4 linked regions of the Drosophila melanogaster genome follow. The protein of the gene in region 4 interacts with the protein of the main gene of each other region in a pairwise test. Each region holds a gene or a part of one and is shown on either strand. Other genes may lie near its edges.

What was found.
Region 1: the proteins of Rala (region 4) and GEFmeso interact in a two-hybrid assay, tested with the Drosophila melanogaster proteins (2 studies listed by BioGRID).
Region 2: the proteins of Rala (region 4) and Sec5 interact in a two-hybrid assay, tested with the Drosophila melanogaster proteins (2 studies listed by BioGRID).
Region 3: the proteins of Rala (region 4) and Rlip interact in a two-hybrid assay, tested with the Drosophila melanogaster proteins (6 studies listed by BioGRID).

What each region holds. Positions count from the first base shown.
Region 1 is NT_033778.4:18,608,741-18,613,680, forward strand, and holds the start of GEFmeso (guanine nucleotide exchange factor in mesoderm), read right to left. Parts: upstream 3,038-4,940; 5' UTR 1,993-3,037; coding exon 1,941-1,992; intron 1-1,940. Other genes in the region: CG42697 (uncharacterized protein), read right to left, coding at 3,268-3,338, 3,551-3,686, 3,743-3,955; CG10927 (uncharacterized protein), read left to right, coding at 4,387-4,940.
Region 2 is NT_033779.5:3,455,563-3,460,919, reverse strand, and holds Sec5 (secretory 5), read right to left. Parts: upstream 3,619-5,357; 5' UTR 3,515-3,618; coding exon 3,406-3,514; intron 3,336-3,405; coding exon 2,721-3,335; intron 2,667-2,720; coding exon 845-2,666; intron 788-844; coding exon 649-787; 3' UTR 553-648; downstream 1-552. Other genes in the region: CG3246 (uncharacterized protein), read left to right, coding at 1-526; Cog3 (component of oligomeric golgi complex 3), read left to right, coding at 3,885-4,049, 4,106-4,618, 4,676-5,163, 5,217-5,356. UniProt on the Drosophila melanogaster protein: Component of the exocyst complex involved in the docking of exocytic vesicles with fusion sites on the plasma membrane.
Region 3 is NT_033777.3:21,015,948-21,021,253, reverse strand, and holds Rlip (Ral interacting protein), read right to left. Parts: upstream 3,571-5,306; 5' UTR 3,477-3,570; coding exon 3,380-3,476; intron 3,313-3,379; coding exon 3,180-3,312; intron 3,125-3,179; coding exon 2,240-3,124; intron 1,810-2,239; coding exon 1,047-1,809; 3' UTR 501-1,046; downstream 1-500. Other genes in the region: CG5697 (uncharacterized protein), read right to left, coding at 4,495-4,753, 4,827-4,969. UniProt on the Drosophila melanogaster protein: Participates in receptor endocytosis during interphase, is also involved in mitotic processes when endocytosis is switched off.
Region 4 is NC_004354.4:3,716,600-3,721,234, forward strand, and holds the start of Rala (Ras-like protein A), read right to left. Parts: upstream 3,037-4,635; 5' UTR 2,764-3,036; intron 69-2,763; exon of another isoform or gene 1-68.

The sequences.
Region 1 (4,940 bases), on a different chromosome or scaffold from region 4:
CCTTGTCGGCTTTATCAAAAAGTCAATAAATACATGCGGCGAAATCTTATCAACGCCTTAGCCCTACTACCATCGATATCTATTAGTATTTATTGAATAAACCAAATATGAAAGCCAGGCCAGCCAAATAAATGTCACAAGAGAATCGATGGCGAACCGCAGGGCCCAAAAAGGTTTCCTCAGATCACAATCTTTAACAATATCGAATGAACAGACTCCCGTGGTGTTTGTGGTTACGAGTGGTAATTCAACGACTTGACCTGGCACCCTGCCCCCTTGCGCTCATGCACTTGTGTCCACAGATGAAAATTTCTTATTCCCCCGTTTTGTTTGTTTGTCTGGAATTGAAGTTGACTCTGTTGTTGAAGAGGCAAACAAACACGGTGACGGAAAGGGCAAAAGAAGACGAACTGGTGACATTTGATAGTGCATGCGGTCAACTGCTGGCGATATCATTCGGCGGGTTCTATTTATAGGTCGATGCGATCGGTAATATCCTGGACATGCGGCCGACAGATGGCGTCACGTTTGCTGACCCCGCCAAATGTCAACCACTTGCACAATCGTCTATGTCTAAGCTGGTGGGATCAGCAGAACAAACCCATAAATGCCGCAACACCCCCCCATCACCTATACATGATTCATTCGCCCTACTCATGTATGTGTATATAATTGATATAACAAAGGCCACTTGCTGAATTCGCAGTGTCCGTTATCAATAATTGACGCACCATCTTAACCCGTTTTAAACTATTTTCTTCGGGCAGTTTTTTGAAGGTACTTAACTAAATTAGTTATTCTCTCTCTCTCTCTTCACACATTTGGTTTGGAATTGTGTTGGCCAAAAGATTGCTTAAATTCAGTTTTACAGTTTTAATAGAGTTACTTGCAATTAGTATGATAATACATATTACTTATTACATATACATATTACTATTGATTATTATAAGTTTGGAAACCTTCTTTGGCCTAACATGGGTTAACTAACAGAGCTACTTACAGCGCTGTTGCGCTAAGGGCGGCGTTATCTAACATCCGCTGTTAGCGGGCGTGCAATAATAATAAAGAAAGTCAACAAAAGAAACGCAGTGTCAAGACTTATGACTAATGCACTTAATTGAACGAAAGCTTTCGGTGAGAAGAAAAACAAATATGCAGCATGTGCCACAAAGTTACAAGCAAATCGGCGTTACGAATTAAGTGGGTCAGCAAACCGAATGGAGCCACCCAAAACATAAATTGCAAATCCGAAGACAGACCTTTTCTTGGCCACACTTGTATGGTAATATGTGGGTCAAAATGGCCCGAAATTATGTATTATCATTAAATTTCATTACAACCGACTTTTCGAGCGCTTAAATAATGTCGAAAAATTTCGGACTGCGCAAAAGCGGAATGCAAAAACAAAGCGAACCCGTTACACCGCAATTCACGCAATGCCACTCAGTGGGTTGTTATTTTATTTTCCCCCCACTTTTTGTACAGTTATGGGAACGGAACGGTGCCGTCGATCCACCAAATGCATTGGCCCCAGTCCCAGTCCCAGCACCAGCCGCAATCCCCATTCCATCACCATCCCCCAACCCGCCGAGCCAAAGAAAGCCAACTTGATGGTCTGTTCTTGTACGCAAGTCCATATTCGGAGTTTGGAGTTCTTGGAGAATGCGTAGTGTCTCCCACACAGGAAGAAATATAAGATCGGGACATATGTATATTATTCATAATCCTACTGTAAACATATAGTACCCTAAGCTTTTGTATGTTCTTATGCCTTCAATGACGGATTATTAAAATGTAGACTAATGTCGTCTGAAATGCTGAAAACCAATATTACTAGTCTCTATCTGTGATTGATACGTGATTTTTCCTCAGTGCACCTCCCCAGCCCGCTGAGTCATGTCATTTCTGCACGCAGAAGTTCAGTGATCCCGTTCGCTTACCAAAAAAGTCCTCCCATCTCTCCGAGGTGTCCGAATCGGATTCTATGTCCATCTTGGTCTCCTCCGGCTGCTTGATTTACGATTTCCGAGTGCGTCTGGTTTGGTTTTGGCCAGATCTGGTCCCTCGCGCCTGATCTGTCTCTAAATTTAGACGGCGATTGCAGAGCAACTGACACTGAAGGAGGTCGTTATTATCGCGACTGCTTTGGCTGCTGCATTAGATATGGCCGCAGATACAGTATCTAAAACGGGCGAATTGTGGCCAAATGACTTCACCCGGTGCAGAGCGGAAAGGCAAAGCTCAATCAATGGCTGGCCGATAAGATAAGCGCTCGATTTAACTTTAAACACTGGCACCGAACTGTGCGATTTTCTTTTCCGTTTGTTTGTCGTATATGGACGTTTTCGCAGTTTCGAGTACGAGTATCTGGCTTTATTCACCACTAGTCGCCGATATCTTATCGCGGTCTACTAAGCTCCGAGGTAAGGCAAATATCCAGCAGGTACGGAGGCATTGTGGCCAACAGCTGGTGTCCAGCGATTCGGAATGAGAATACGCGAATGTATCTCAATGTTGCGCTCAGTTCTCGGAACTTTCGGATGACTAAACCGGCTCACGGACTTCTGTCTCTGGGGTTGGGGCTTTTATTTTATTACTTTTATTTGGGCTTAGAACAAATTGTGGGGATTCTCCAAAAGCGGGCCACACAACAACCGATCGTTGATTGAATTAAAGTAATGGGCTCTTCACTTGCTATTTGCGAAACCGAAAACAAAACGAAAACACACAAATTGCAGATACAAGTATCTCGCGCTTCGCTGATTTTCCAGTTTCTCCCGTGCAAATCACCTTCGCACCGTTACTTCTAATTGCGGCAAATGGAAAACACTCTCGTCTCACATATACGACTGCACTTGCAGATACACTTGTGTATTTTCAGATATAATTTTTGATATTTTTCCTGCCGATATTTTTATTTCCTTTTTTTTTTCTTGACGGGTAGGGGGCGGTACACTGGCACACACACGCTCATTCGCAGGAACAGCTCGAGCGCTCCAGGAACGACATATCCAGCGCGCGTCTCAGAGTGAACTGACTTACTTGAAAGACACTCAAGTCGGAAGACCCGAGCACGAAGTCACCTCATACACAAATAATGGGGGGATTCGAATACAAGTTCTCTCTCTCTCTCTCGGTGCTCACAGTATTACATCCGATGCGAAGATCGCTGAGAGTTGCATAGTATGCTCATTCCAAGGCGTTCGATCTCCAACATGGTATGTTTGTATCTTCTATGCATGCAACAAGTGGAACCAACTGCAACTCCTAGCAGTCGTGGGTGCATGATCGACAGCACCACCAGGTTGAAATGATGACCCATTCGTAGTACATCTCGACTGGATAAGAGAAAAATATTATTTTAATTAAAAATCGAACGTGAATAGAATTTATGTACTTTTTAAGTCCACTACGTTTTGTTGCTTGTTTGTGTTATATGTTGTGTGTGTGTTATAGAAAGAAGTTCTCGATAGTTAATGTATTAATCTACTTCTCTATCTTCTTTTGTTTTCAGATCCAAAAGAAATTCAAAATTTTTTCACCAACTTACGTATGCTAAGAAAACCGCCCAGAAGGAGGTGCAGAGGGTCCCACAAGAGGATGTAGAAGAGCACCACAAGTGCGATGAGGAGCCCCAGGGCCGCAATACCTATAAAAAAGGACAAGAGCATGGCCCAGCACATGTCCTGTAGAACAGCGATTGGATATCTTTACAAATTTAAGGATAAAAGTATTCACTTACCCACATCGTTCCGAGGAGAAGAAGAATTTTAGCTAGGGCTTGGACAATGCCAAAGACCATTGCCATGACCACAAGCACTGTTTCCGGATTGCCCTTGATCATCTCGAATAGACCCACAGAAAAGACCATTAAAGCTAGAAGCATCCCCGTGAAGCCGATGAAGATGCAGCCAATGTAAAGCGACAAATAGCCGCAAAACAAGCGCAGACACATTTCGATGTTTCCTCTAAGTTTTGACTAGAAATCACAAGCACATATTTCACTGGAATTTTGAATTTAAACTTTGGGTATCAGACTGGGCACTGCTTACATGTAGACATCAAAAAAGATATTGGTTGTAAGGAATTATAATGCAAATTAGACAATTGATCAGATTATTGAGCTGATTAGATTAAGTATTAGGGAATGTATATCAAAAGTAGGAAATATTTGAAACAGCTCCCAAGCTAAATAGCTTTAAAGACTTTTAAACGTATAATCTTTCACTAAATTATTTTTAAATGCATATTTTAAATAGAAGACATTTTTCAAAGTTGGCGCTTAATATCCAAACAGCTGTTTCAACGCCAGCGCTTGGCACTTATCGATAACCTATTTCAATCGATTCCAATTGGCATTCTTCTAATTGAAGAATTAAGTAAATAATGGATATATCCGCGCCACCAAACAAACGTGCTCGAAAATCACCCAATCTGGATGAAGACATAACTGGGATCCGGGCCATCCTCTCCGATGAGTTCGACGAGGATATTGCGCTCATCAAGGCGCACAGTTGCGAGTTGGAGACGAAACAGCAGCTCCAGGCGGTCATCCAGGAGCTCTCACAGAAATTGCCCCACTTTCAACACCTAAAGCGCGTCCAGGATCGCAGCGTGCTCATATGTCCCAGCTCAGAGATCGGAGTGTCTCAAAGCCTGGAACAACACCTTGAACAGTTTGCCTTTTCGGAGCACGTGCTCCGTGCTTTGTGCCAGGGAGTCCGGGTGGTGGAGGTGCCGGAACGGATGCCCCGACTGCGGGTGCAGTACGAGAAGACCCTTAAGCACTGGCCCTGCAAGTTTCACCCTAATCACTACTCGGAGTCACTGAGGAATGGCAGCAACTTTAGCTCCGCACAACGCACATTTCACAAAAGGATCGGGCAATTGCTTGTGAGGCTCTCGCGGGATGTCAATGCCAATCGTCCGGTGGGCATCTG
Region 2 (5,357 bases), on a different chromosome or scaffold from region 4:
TGTCAATCGCACCATGGGCGTGTTCAGTGTCCAGTTAGCACACACCTGGATCAATGGAATCTCTAGCTTCTACCGCGTGGGCAACATAACCGCTGGCATGGCCAACAAAACGGTGTCGGTCGTTCTGCAAATAGGCACCCAGCAGGTGACGGGAGCCGGCCAGTGGGAGGTGGGTGTGGGCATGATGACACGCGTCGGTCACGTACAATTTACGGTTCAGCACATACGCGCCACCGTTGGCCTGAGCCAATCCCTGGACACACGCAAGCGGGCGCAGATCACCGATCTGCAGTTTGACATGGGCAACATACAGGTGCGATGTGACGGAGCGGGAACGCTGGACTACGTCATGGAGTTTGCGGTGAACGTCATTCCCAACCTGCTGCGCTACCAGATCATGGACGCCATCGAGAACCCCATCAAGCAGCGTGTGCAGGAGAAGTTCAACACCATCGATGTGGAGCAGGTCATCAAGACCATGGCTCAGAACAACTTCAACTTTGACCCAAAGCTGTTGGGCTTGTGAGTCGTGGTAGTAAGTAAGAGAGTTATGCAATCGAATAAAGATTTATCCCTAGAACATGGGTAATCACAAGCTACTTAAAGTATACGCTATCTACATGGGCTGCGCCCTGCAGTGGAATGTGCCTAGGGGTCCTTGACACTGAAGCAGAGCAGCTGCAGACGCATGTTCCGCTTGACCCGCTCCAGAATCTCGTCCGCCTTACGCTTCTGCTCGCCACTCAGGGGCGGATTGATGGCCTCCAGCGCTTCCATGAAGTAGTTCCTTTTGCAGATTAGAAGAATTATTGAAATTCATAGGTATTTCATTTAGATCACTCACTTGGCAGTCTCATTGACGTAACCTTCCAGGGAGTCCCTCAATAGACGGATATCCACGTGGGCCTGAATCGCTCCCGTGAAGCTAAAGCGCTGGACACAGCTCATCAGACGGGCCAGCTCTTCGGATATGGTTTGCACAATGGACTCCAGGATGGGTCGCAGCAGTGCCGGTGAAATGCTGTAGATCTCGGAGTAGACACCAACCAAATTATCGCAGCACTCGTGAGCGTAAGGACGCAGCTGGCCGATCTCCATCTCGTGATCCCACTGGAAACGACCCAGATACATGGAGGGCTCGATGGTGCCGACCAGCGGATCGCCCTTATGCTCGACGTACTCCTCCAGAAGATTGGTAAAGAGCTGGTTAACCGTGTAGCGAGCAGTTTCGATTGCCAGCGTGGGCAGCGGGTAACCGTAGCGAACGAAGATGTCACCAAGGCGCGGGAAGAAGATCTTGTTGCAGTACGCATAGTTGGCCAGGCAACAGAGCATGCGCTGCTCCCAGGTCACAGCCGCTGCTCCGCCGCTTCCAGCCACCGAATCTGGCTGCTGGGCATTGGGGAATCCAAGTAGCTGCGACACATTGTGGGTGGGCGTCTCCTCGTCGTGGGAGTGGAAGGCCAGCTCCTCGATCACCGCGCTAAACGCGGATAGGAATTCTTGTAGTCGCTGTGTCACCTCTCTCTGTCCATCCGACTGCGGCTCGAGGAGATTGCCCTCCCGGGTCTCCCTTTGCATGCACACAGATTGCACCTCGTCCAGCGTTTCGATGAGCAATGTTTCCAAGGCGGCGGGTAACAATGTGGCACCTGGATATTCCTCCACGCCCAGTTCCCAGGTCTCCTGGCTGCCCAGCTTTTTGCACCGATCCGTGGCCCGTTTGAAGATAATTGAGAAGCAGAAAAGTCGCACCTCATCGATCAGTTTCTGTATGATGTCCAGCGCTTCCGAGGGCAGATCCAGGCTGATGAGCGTGGCATAGGCTATCCTCGTGAAACGCAGGCACTGCGGAATCCAGGGTAGAAACTGATGTGTTGCCGATGCGGAGCCGATGGGCCAAGCCAAGCCGCTGGACTGACGCAGGGCGCGCTGATCCGTGGCAATGAGAATGGCCAACCTCAAGTAGACACAGAACTTCTCGATGGCGTTCAAAACCATTCGCTTGAAATCCCCTGGCTTGGGATCATGAGGTCCGCGTAGCTCGCCGGTGAAGTATAGCTGGCCCAGACGCCACAAGTCCGGCAGCTGGGAGGCGGCAATGTCGCACAGTTCTTCGCAGAAGTTAACCCGATTGGGCGCCTGGCTGGAATCCCTGTTCTTTGCCTTTTCCTGGGCACCCGAATCCTTGCTGGTGTGCTGATCAAATGTCTGGCGAAATGTCCACTCCAGATATTTGGCTCTGGCCTCGATGGCATCCCAGGCGGGATCGATGTTGCGCAGTTTATCGCCAATGGGAGTTCCGCTCTGCTGCAGTTCCAGACTGATCAGCGCCTTGATGAGCTTCTTCTGTTGCTCCACGCTCTGTGGCATCTTGACCACCTTCTCGTGCAGTTGTTTCCTTATTGACAGAATCCTGTGGTCGACCTCCTCGAGCACCTTGCGGAAAATGGGAATCTCCGTCTTGCCAAAGAGGTTCTTGGCGCGCGAGTAGTCGTTAACCACAATGTCATATTCACCCGCCTTGGCACGTCTGTCCACCGAATTGGGCAGACAGAAGAGGAACTTGTGCCGCGACAGGGCGAACAGAACGGACCGCGTGGAATCCGCCTTCTCTTTGCGCACCAGCACATCCGTGAATATCTTTTGCGATTCGCTAATGGAGTCTATAAGTCGAACAATTTTAGAATTAAATATCTTAATCTATAAACCCCACTCACTCTCTATGGATGTTTCCAAGATATTTAGGGTCTCATTGCCGTGTAGCTTGACATCCTCCTGCAGCTTGTCTCGGATGTTCATCAGCGTATCGAGCTGGTCAATCACCGAGCCTGCATTGGACTTGAGGAAGGACAACTGACCTTCCTTCTGGCTCTCCACTTTCCGCTTCAAGTAGGACAGGCCCGCCTTGAGATCCTCGAAGGAGGTGGCCAGGTGATTTTCAAGCAGGAACCAGGCCGGGGAGAAGTGCTCCTGCGACAGATCCCCGCAGGCTTCGGGAAAGAGATCGCGGAGGTCCTCGGGGATCTTCTGCTCGTTACCCTCGATGGACAGCCCAAGTGGATCCTCCTGCGTCAGTCCGGATTGGGCTAGGGTGCGCCGACCCCAGGCAAAATTCTGCGAGGGCGACTCCTCGATCCACACGGCGGACTCCTTGAGCGGGCCAATGGTCTCGTGGTATGCACGAAACTGAACCGTGGACGTGCCCACTCCGCCGCTTAAAGTGGTCACTATGATATCGCCTTTTCCCTTCGCCGGACCAGTGCGTGCGATGATTTTATTGGGTGATTTCCACTCCGCCGACAGCAGACAATCTGAACCGCAGATTTTTAGACCTTACATTTTTTTTTTTTGGAAGGGAAAGTCATCAGAAAACAGAAGCTATTTGGGACAGGCTACGCCTACCAATTAGATCTTGCACTCGGGTGCCCAGGAACTCGCCGCGAATGATAACGCGGGTGCCAGGAGGACCCTCCTTCGGAGATAGCCCCGTAACCACTGGCTGCGGCGCCATCGTATGCTATATGATGCGGAAAAACTGATCAAAATGCAATAAAAACAATAGAGAACAGAACTTTATTGATGCTGCCAGTGATGGAAAACGTCCCGTCAGTGGTGAAATCTTGGCTAAGTAATCGCCAAGCTAAACAGACAGATATTTAATATAAAACTTATGTAAGAAACGGACGAGCATAAAAAGAGCTTAAAATGTATTAAATCTAAAATTAAAGATTACTTAACATATGATACCATTCAAATAAAGGCAACTTATATCAATCAAGAGTTTTAGTTCTAGCTAAGTCTCCTTGCTGAGCAGCACTGGAAGGCGCAGACCGGTCATCTCTGAACAGCTGATTGATTGTTTCCAAATCCGCCGCAGAAAAATGGATGACGTCGAACGAATTCAGAGCGAGAATGAGAATTTGCGCAAGATTCGCAATCGCCTGATGCAATGGGAGTCCAAAACGGACCCGCTGGCGGCTCTGAGTATCCAGCAAGAGGAGCACCTGGACGTCCTGACCAATCTGTGGCGCGACAGCGGACCATCGGTGAGTCGACTCCTCCTCGAATGGCAATCGTATAATTGCAACCCGACTCTTTGTAGGCACCGGCACCGACTACGCCCACCCAGGTGGGTCCTACCGATTCATCGGCAGCTGCAACTTCGCAAAGCGGCGATGACATCAGACTACCTGCGGAGGGACTCCAGAACACCAATGAGTTTCTGCTTTGGTTCGCGGACGTCAGCGCCGAGATCGAGCAACGTGGCGATGCCGACTACCACAAATACCTGCAGCAGCTGGAGCAGCGCAAAGCGGAGTGCTCCCACATGCTGGACCAGATCGCTGGGGCCATGGAGCGCCTGGGTGCCCTCTGCGACGAGTACGACTTTGTGTCGCAAAAGACCAGCGCTCTGAACACGGCCAGCGAGCAGTTGATCGAGGAGCAGGAGCGACTGCAGGAGCTGAGTCACGAGATTCAACGCCGTCTGCACTACTTCAGCCAGGTGGAGTTGCTCAACCAACGACTTCAGAGCCCCACGCTTTCGGTGGCTAGCGAAGCGTTCCGGGAGTGCCTCAACAAGATCGACGAATGCCTAAACTACATCGAGGAGAATGTGAGCTTGTCTGTTACACTTCGGTCATGTATATACTAATATCCTTCATTGTCACAGCCCAAATTCAAGGATGCGGCCGCCTACAATGTGAAGTACAGGCAGTGCCTGGCCAAAGCCTCGGGTCTGGTGCGTAACTATGTGACGAGTGTGATAAACCAGGCAACCGAGGCCACGCTCCATCCCAAGAACAATATGCCGGATGCCTCCGCTGCTCTCAAGGCACCAGATGCCGCATTCGCTCTGTACTACGGCAAATATCAAACGGCCGCGGCAAAAGTGAAGCGGGTCGCCCAGTTGATTGAGTCCCGGTCGGAACACAGCCTCGACTACGCCCAACTAATGGCGGATCTTCAACAGCACTACTTGGCGCAAAGAGCCAGCGTTATGTCGCCAGCAGTGAATCTGTCCATACAAAACGTTAAGGTGGCCCACAAAGGGGATCACTGCTCTCTCACCCGAAGCGCCTGCGCCTTTTTGGTGCATGTTTGCCAGGACGAACAGCGTTTGTTCTACCAGTTCTTCAGCACAGGAGCGCCACACCTGACGTAATACTCGTACATCTAGTTGGAAAATAGGATTGATCTCATTTTTCCCACAGGGTTTATCTGGAGGGTCTGTGCACCATTCTCTATGACACCATGCGACCCTTTATTATACATATTAATCACTTGGAAACGCTGGCGGAGATCTGCTCCATTCTACGAATTGAAATGCTGGAGGAGCATGTCCAGCAGAATCG
Region 3 (5,306 bases), on a different chromosome or scaffold from region 4:
ATCTGTAGTCCAGCGGAAATAACTTAATCATGGAGGGGAGCGAGTTGACGCGGTTTGGCATTCCGGAGGACTCATCTTTCCCCCGTGGTATTTGTGTGTGATATTTTTAAGTTGTACTTCAGCGGAATACAGAAAACACGCCCCGAACGTAATGCATAATGATAATGTATTCTAAAATTATTAATAATAAATATTAAATAAAGTAATCGTAACACGCAAAGCCCACCTCGGTTCCTTGACCATCACAATGTTGACAAGACGTAATATGAGATGATGTCATTTCCGTTTCACCCCAGCGAACAGCCAATCCGTCGTCTAAACATCTTCTAATCTGTGCCCTGTATTTCTCGGATTGGAATTAAGTCATCAGACCGATTTAGAAAATCGGATCTTGATTGTCGGCACACACAAACGCAGCTACTTTACCGGCATTTACAAAATTCTTCGAGGAGACATATTTCGATGCAATAGTTCAGTACAGAAAAGGGAATTTTGAGTTTGTTTTCTCATTTAATTGTTGAAAGCAGTAAAGTTGTCTAACAAGATTTCTTTGGGGCTTTGCGCCGTTTAACAGTAATTATAGTTTGAACAAAGCATTTGATCGCAAGTAGACATTGAGATTTAAAATTGGTAACCCTATATACATACATATATTTCGGTGGGTCAAGTCTGAAACTAGCTCATTTCCAAATAAACAATAAACTGACTTTAGGCATGAGGAATCCGTTTTATGTTTTAGCAGTATTTTATCTCCTTAAAAGCTGAACTGAAAATTCTCATATATTGCAATTCACAAAGGACACTGTTTAGAACAGTGACTACGTTTGCAGATAAATGAATTATCAAAAACTTTACAAGTTTATTCATTTGAATATTTTAGATATGTGACATAGAATTGTCTTCTACGAATCTAAGAAACCTCCTATGATTGCCTAGTAGACCTTTTATGTTTCTTTGGAAATGTGACCATTAAGTTTCCGGAATAGGAACTTAGTTATATCCCTCAAATTGACCCATCCAAGTAATACATTAATCGAATTAATACATTAAAACTGCTGGAGCCGCAGCTCAACTTGTAGAGCAATACAGGCCCGTCGTTCCTCCTTTAGTTCCATGCCCAGCATATTCTTCTTGTGCTCCAGCAGCGCATTCTCCCGTGTATAGTGCTCGATTATCCGCTCATAGTCGGATTCTGGGGGAGCCTGAGATCCCGAGGCCAAGGAGGCCATTTGACTGTTTATTGACTGCTGCTCGTACAGCTGCTTGAGCCTATAGACTTCGTTGCGCTCGGCGACGATACGTGCTTTTAGTTCGTTCTGCCATTCCATTAGCTCGTCATATTCAATTTGGAGCCGCAGCAAATTTTCGCGGTGCGGATTTGATTTGGGGAGCAAAATAAAGCCAGTGCTGGGATCAATAGTAAAATCGTTAGGAGCATCTTTCGGAGTTAGTGTATCGGTTTTTGGCTCTTCCTGGGAAATACTGTTGTTCGTAGATACGGCTGGAGTTCCAGCTGGTTTGGAGTCAGTGGTATCTTCACTGGCTACAGCGGGCGGAGCACTGCTGCTGTTGTCTACTTCCTCCGCAGTCTTTTCCTGTTTCTTCTCAAAAGTTCGTAGTTTCCGCTTCAGCTGGGTAATGATGCGCTGCACTTCCCACAGCTGTTCCTCGCGTTTCTTGGTAATGAACCCGGCGTTCATCTCGCTGTGGATCTGGGACAGGAGGCTGTCCTGCTTGCGCAACTCCGTCTGGATGTCCTCCGGCGTATCCGGAAGCTTTGGGCTGGTCGATGTTAAAGGGGGCACATACCTAAGAGATGACAATTTAGTATTATGATAACTTTGTTTAAATGTGTGCCATTCTGCCTGATTAGAAAACTGGCGAAACGTGGAAAGCGCTTCTGTTTACGGGGTAATGTGCTCATCGTCGGTTGCAAAATAAACGACTAAATCTGGCGATTTTTATAGCAGCAATCTTATCAACTGCCAACAGTGGTGGGAATTATCTGGGTTCTTATAAGTACCTATTATACATATAAAAAAACAATTTATATCATTAGATAAATATGGAAACTAACAGTTTACTAAAACTAACAGTTTAGTAGTTAACTTCAGAGCTATGACTTCGATTCGTTCTTGTGATTTAACTATAGTTGTTAAATGTGGACTTCTCTTTTACCAACACAAAGGTACTTGGATATTTCCCACCACTGTTATCCGGCTAGCCGGTGTTTGCTCACTTTATCAGCTGGACGTCCGCGAACAAGTTGTTGCAGTGGCAGAGTAGGGCCACCATTAGTCGGTGAGACATCTGGAGCGTCGGACTGAGCAGCATAGCCAGCGACTGAGCGTTGAGCTTATTGTGTCTTTCCTGCTGGATCACCGCGTCGAAGTGGAGCAGCACCCACGCCAAGAGGGTGCGATTGCACTTGGGCAATTGTTCAAGCAGCTGCTGCAGCTCTGCCTGCTGCGTGGTTACCTTCGGATGAGAGGCTACCTCCTCAAAGCGGGCCACCAGATCGGTGGTCAGCAGTGGCTCCGGCAGTTCGCGCAGGAAGAGCTTCAGCAGACTGCAGGCGGTAGGCAGGTTGAGCTCATCAACGGCGGAGTCGTGCTCCCGGTTGTTGTACAACCGCTTGAAGTGCATCAGACGCGTCTTGATGGGCTCAATCTTGTAGATCTGCTCACACTTCAGGTGATCCTGCAGGAAGTCGATGCAGTCGCGCACAACCAGGGGAATGTCCACGCCGTCGTGGCAGCGGGATCGTTCGGTCGCCAAGCTAACGGACACCCCAAAGACGGGATACCCAAGTGCCAGCACTTCCTCCGCGGCGGAGACGTCGTCCTGCTGCTGCGACAGCTGCTTGCTCTTCTTATCCTTTTTGTCCTTCTTGTCAGCCTTCTTGTCCTTTTCCTTGCGCTTCTCCTCCTTGTCCTTCTTCTTGGGCTCATCACGGTCCTTCTCCTTATCCCGCTCTTTCTCCTTGACCTTGTGGGAGACGGAAGGCTCCTCCTCTGCGTGCTTCGAGTCTTTTTCAGACTTGTCCCGCGACTTTTCCCGCTTCTCCTTGCTCTTGGAGCTGGTGAACTTAAAGGTCTTTGACTTTTTCGACTTGGATGGACTTCTGGAAGTAAAAGAAAAAATATTACTTGTCTCTGGGTCAGCTGACCTGCACCCACTTGGTGTCCAGCTCCTCCTCCGGCGAGCTCTCGCCCTCCAGAGCGGCGTATCCTCGATCCTTGCCCTTTTCCTTCTTGTCCTTGCGCCGGCCAATCAACAAGTCCTTCTTGCTATGGTCGTGATCCTCACTAACTGTAAAGGCAAGGTGAGCCCATTGATTTTTTCCCAGCTTACGCCCACATCTTTGCGCTCCACTCACAGTCGCTCTCCTCCTTGCTCTTCCTCGACTTAGCGTCCGCCGCCTCGGAGGCGTACAGCCCGGGAAACTCCTTCTCCTCGGGACTGTCAAAATCCATCACGAATAATCACTTCACCAGCAGTAAATAAATATAAACAATTGCCGTAAACAACATATGCAACAAATAATCGATTGCTTAATCGAAGTCGCCGCTGCTATCCAACACTGATAAGTGCACAGATGGCGCTACTGTGTCATGTAAAAAATATGTAGTAACGGTGTAGATATTTAAAAAAAGGCAAATTGAAACAAGAGAAAACGCTACAGTCGAGTTCCTCAACTATCAGAAATGCGATCAGCTACTAACTCTTAAATTTTTATAATATTAATATATATATATATATATATATATAATAAATAAATAAATAAATATGTGTTAATATATAATATAATAATAATAATATTTTAAATAATTTAAATTCTAAGAAAATATTTTTTATATATATACATAAACTACATAATACATAAAACTTCCAAAATGACAAGAGTACCACCTCTGTAACTACAGGATTTTGTTAATTGTGCGCGCTAGTGTGGGCGTGGTGAAAATGTTTTTTCACAAGTATACAAATTGCCAAGACTATTTATAAAATAAAACTAAATCAAACCATTTTTTCAGGGTGGGGCTGTAAAACTATAAGGCGGTTTGTTAACTTCTAAACTCCCAGAAACCGAAACCAGAATACAGCGATGAAAAAAAACTATTCGTTTATTAGTTTAAGTAATATTCATATATATATATGTATATATATAAAAATTAATAAGTTTGCGATACAATGTTCTTAATTGGTACGGAAACGCTTCCTTATACCTTTTGCATTCTTTTTACTTTACGAGTAGGCGGTTGTGTAGCAAATAAGTTAATCAGTATAATTATTTCACGACCAATCAATCCCGCGGTGCATCGCTTATCACTCAGCTTGAGTAGGGGTAAACAGTAGAGAGGAGGAGGATTAGGTCGCCTCCATTACCGGCAAGCCAAACAAATGCTAATAGTGCGAGCTGATGCGGCTGATGCAATTCCGCAGGGTGGATTGCGGCATCTCCAAAATGCTACACAGATTAGCTTACGGCCACTATAAACTGGCCATCAGCAGCTGGGAGCCGTTGAGAGCCAAGGATAGTGGCGTGGCCATCGTTGTCGTGGTGGTCGCGTTTCTGCTAATTGCTCTATTTGGGAGACAGACACTGTCGGAATAGGCCATAACCAGTCCAGCAATCAGGGTCAGCAGGAAAGTCAGGCCCAGGAGCCCGCAGCTGAGGCGCCGTACGGCCTGCCACCAGGGATCCAGAGCGAAGGGCAGGAGCTCCTCGAGCGTCAGTCCGTAGGAATAGCTACGAAAGAAGCGGGCAGGCGGCACTGTGTAACGAAGTTATTTTTTAATGAAATACGACGGAAAGCGTTTACTCAGCAGTTGTGAAAATGGGCTCATAATCCTTTGGATCCTTCCCCGTCGCGGGCACGACAATGATGTGCTGCTGCTGCCGCTGCTGCCGCTGCTGATGTCCTTGTTGCGTTGCCAGAAGCGCTGTCTTCTCGTTGCAGGACATATTTGCCGTGTGGTACCCTGGATGTGTGCCGAACAAGAGGGTATACGCAGTTTATGTAACTTTATCTGTAACAAGAAGTGAAAATAATAATAATAATGAATAATGATTTATTCAAATGACTGATAATTTATATATGATAACTGTGACATGTATCTTTCGTTTTTTTTTTGTCAATACCACCAAAGTTGCCGTAGCCCCTTGCAGGCACGACAGATAACTATAGATGGGAACTGGGTATTTTACAGTCCTTTTTCAGCCCTTCTCACGGGATAGTACCAGGATTGCAAACACTCCCGGCTGGAAATTGCTCCATTCGCAACTGGCGGACTACTGGCGA
Region 4 (4,635 bases):
TCAGACTCATTTACAAAGTGTTTTTATTTGGCCGAGCAAGTTTGATCTGCCTTTGCAGATAGCGATACCTAAAAAAAAAAAAAAAAAAAAAACTAAAAACTTATTTCACACCGAGTGGTATATGAAAAATAGGTACATATATGTACGAACAATGCGTGGGAAGTGTTTTCTGAAGCGAGGAGAGCATAATTAAAACCTAGGCATAGTCAGCTGTGATAAAAGATCTTGAAATGCGATGGAGCAACAACAAAAGCCATGGGGAAACACTTGAGAGCCTGGGCATAAAACAAATAAAACCTGTATAAGGCAAATGTGTTGAGAGAACTTTGGAGATGCTGATACGATGATGTAACAAACTAAAGTCAGCTAACAAATATGTGATTGCGCGCGCGACTTTGTCAAGAATCGTTTGTTGGAAGAAATCTCAAGATTTTCAAATGTTAAATGCTTTACAAACGGATATCGTAGATCGTTGGTAACGGGCGATTAATCATTTAATTGGAAAATAACAAAGTCATTACACGTATTTAATGCACAATTCATTGATAATCAGGTATATAAAACGTATTTTGAAGACATTCGGCAGACATATTTGGCCATTATGGACAATTATCATCAAGTGTGTATAACTTTTGCATTAGGCCAACATTATTATTCGTAGAAAACAAACTTTAATGTTGGCCATAATGGACTTGGCCTAGAAGAAACATAGAAATAGAACCCATTTCCGTGATTTGTCTCCCTTGACAAAACTCCATTAGAAGTGAAATTAGAGCAAATCACAGCTTGATGGCTATAAATTAGGCTAAGTTGGCCGACTTGCGCTATCTTCTCCCTTCTGGCCAAGTTAGCAAACATGCCGGAGATGCCGAACAAAAGATGAGAAAACTACATATATACCAAAAACTGTGTCACTGCGAAAGATCGTGAAGATTATGAGTCAGTGTTTTCAACTCTATTGTTAATCTATTCTCGCCTGCCAGAGAATTATATTTGAAAAGGTCAGAGGTGAAACAGCTAACAAATTGCTCGGCTATATCTTGCAAATAATGTAAGATTTTGTTTACACTTTTGATAACGATTAAATTTCTCTGGAATATGAATGGCTCATATTCTACAGACCGATCTGAAATCAAAACTGGTTTCGCATTTTGTAAATAATAAGGCAAACTACACAAAGAGCAGTTATTGATTATTTAAGCACTCAGTTTTAAAGGAACTGAGAACGCATTTTTTTTTGACATACTTCAGCTATTCACTTCCCCCCGTTCGCATTTCGTTCAATTGGTGAGAGCTTTTAACGCCCCTTGGCAACCAAACAAACAAACAAATAATTAGGAAATGTTGGTGAAAGGGGGAAAGGGGTCAACACATACGATTAAGTGAGTCATAGATAAATGAAATTATTCAATATAAAACAAGCTGGCACTCAAATTGATCTTGAACTTGAGCCTAATTAGAAACTGTAAAACCATTTTTCTGTGTCACGTTTTTCAGTTTTCCTCATTTGCTTTAGGCGTGTTGGATAAAAAGATGGAACATTCAGATGCGCATAAAGTTGAAGCGGATTAACTAACGATCACCATCATGATGATCTAACGCTAATGTCAAAATGGTTCTCCGATTAGCAACAGAACCCGAAAATCGGCACGTTCGTGGAGATAATGAGAAATGGGGAAAGGGAAAGATGGTAGCGGAAAACGGGTCACTGTGAGAAAATAACGCCACAGAGCGAATGCCATCAAAAGCGATCTCACAAAATAACAGAGATTAAAACCAGACACCGTTTCTGCGAATTTTCTTGCATTTCAAACGACAATTTTCGAGTGCCAAAGAAGGTTCTTAGAAATTCGAAATATGTGATTAATGAAGAAATGTGCTTAATAAACTTGTCATTTAAAAAAAAACTCAACTGTATTTAACTGTTGGTTAAATAATATTTGTATAATGTTAAATTATTACTAATACTTGGGAAAATTCGGCAAATGTTATTTAGAGCGGCGTAAACGAGATCCCAAAGCGGAATTGGGATAAAGAGAAGTTTAAAAAGCAAAGGGGCGATGGGGGCGTGTGCGTGCTTGCTTGTGTGTGTGTGTTTGTGTGTATGAGTCAACGCGCAAAATGCGGGCGGCGACTGCACCTTGCACACCCCGCAAAAAGAGAGGGCGATAAAGCAGGAGAGAGCGGCAGCGAGAGCGAGAGAGAATAAGGTCAAGCGGGGTGCGGCAACAAATATTTCTGCTGATAGCCGTTGATAAAAGGCTCTCGCCGCCCTTCTCCTTTTCTTTCTCTCTCTCTCTCTATCTCTCGCTCTCCGTGTGCTCATCAGTCCGCTCCTTTCCTTTATTTTGCTGAATGGAGCACACACACAAAAATGCCAAGCGCAATACCTTTTATTTAGTTTACATTTAAATATTCAACAAAGCAAATAGCAGCAGAAAGATTTCACTGCTGAGTTTTTTTTTCACCTCTTGCTTTGCTCACACACATATACACACACACACACACACATCCACTTTCTTCGACGTCGACTGCAACGCCGGCAGCGGCGCCTTTTGGCGGCTTTTACAAATTTTGTTTATGAAACAAAAAACCCCTGTGTATATTCCTTTCTGGGATTTCATCGGTGTATACACCCAGATAAAAAGAAAGAATCTTTCCACACGGCAGACATCATGAAGAACAACATACGAAATATGCGTAATCACTCTATAATGCTTTAGCTGTAAATGCTTTTGCTTCTCTTTCCTCCTTTTTGCGTACTTCGTTTTCTTCCTTCCTTTTTATTGTATTTTGCGCGTCCGCTTTGGCCTGTCGCTTCGTTTGTTGTTGCTTTGCTGTGTTATCTCGCACTTGATGCACTAAACTAAACAAAAAAGTTACAGGCGCGATCGGAGAATCGGCAACTGATGAATTAACAGGATCGGAACGCAACAGTAAATTGGCTGCTTTTCGGTTTCTCTTCTCGTTCGCCGCACACCGCAATTAAAGTTCCGTTGGTTTTGCTTGCTTGAAAGAAACTAGTGTGAAAGTGGAAAAATACCACAGAGGTGCACCAATGTGACCGCTCTGCCATCGATCAATTATACCAAGCACAAGCATCACTAAGAATAACACAAAAATACCAATAAGTTCCGTCTTATATTGAGGTGGGTGTGATCGCTAAGGCTGGTGGGTGTACTCGCTTTGCTGGTTGATGTACTCGATAGGCGAGCGAGCGAGTTGTGCACTCGCTGGCGAGCGGTTTAAGTATCCGATAACTATGGTTGGTGCACACGCTAAGTAACAAGTGACCGCTAAACTGCTACTTTAACAGACACAACTGTGCATGTTAAGCGCACTCATCGTTCCGCCAGATGGCTTCTTTGCACACTCGTTTCGGTATTTTTTTTACACCAACTTACAGTATATTTTTAGGCCATTTCTGCGTGTGTGCGTTCGTGTGAATATTGTGAATATTTTTTTTACTGTGAAAATAGACAAAAATCGGCTGTGGAAAACCGAAGTAAACACATTTGGGAATCATGGCGATTGGCCCTTAACCTTAACCCTTAAGTGTCGTGCCGACAGTGCCACGCCACAAACCCAAATCCCAAAGAAACAAAAGCGAAAGAAAAAAAAAAAAGAACAACAAAAAGCTATAGTTGCAGCCTCTGAAAGTTTAAGACAATCGCCGATCCGATCGGAAGCGGAAGATATATGCTCGCCACACCAAATGGCATGGTAAACACCTCTCGTTCCTCTAAATGTGATGTCGATGTCGGAAAAGCCGTAGAAATCGTACAATTCCTAAAATCGCAAACTTAACCTCGCAGCGTTGTGTGCAAAAACGGAGAGGGGTGGGGGGGAAACAACGGAAAAAAAAGGCAACGCAAAGCAAAGCAAACGAAAAGCGAAGCGTGTGCGAGCGAGAGGCGAGTGAATAGCATTGTTGTTATTGTTGTAGTGACTTTTATTTTATCTCAGCCGGCGATTTAATTCTCTCGCACTCACACATATTCACGCGAATAAAAGTAAATTCAAATAAATACACTCGCAAAAACAAATTGGCACCGGTAACAATTCAAAAAAACTTATGCACATGTGTGTATGTGTGTGTGTGTGTGTGTGTGTGCACTTAGGAGCAGTTGGAGGCGTGGCATGTGTGTATGCCAATTAGTACGGCTAGTTGTTGGGTCGTTCATTTTGCTCCTTCCCGCTATCAGACTCGCTCTTTGCCCTGCATTTTCTCGCCGAGTGCAAAAGGAAAATAACAAAAAACCTCACTCCAATTGGAGATTCGAGATGCCGATCTCTAAAGCGCAGGCAGGGCAACAACAAAAGCGCCAAGAAGAAGACGGAAAAGGGAAAGATTCGAACTAAAACCTATTGGGATTTCATCTTGGAACATTAACCCTTAGGCGGGCTGAAATGTTGTTTAAATCATATTGAGAAATTTCCCAATAAAAGCGTATTGCATTTAAAAGGATGCCAAGTTTTTCAATTATACAAGTGTAGTTTATGAGCGTGTTTTTAATGAAATACCTAAACATGGCCAGGTTTTGGCAAAACCTCTGCTTGCATTCAATTATAGCACACACAATTATTTCACTGAAACTCAATTGATAATACAATACATATTTGGTAATTTCTTGT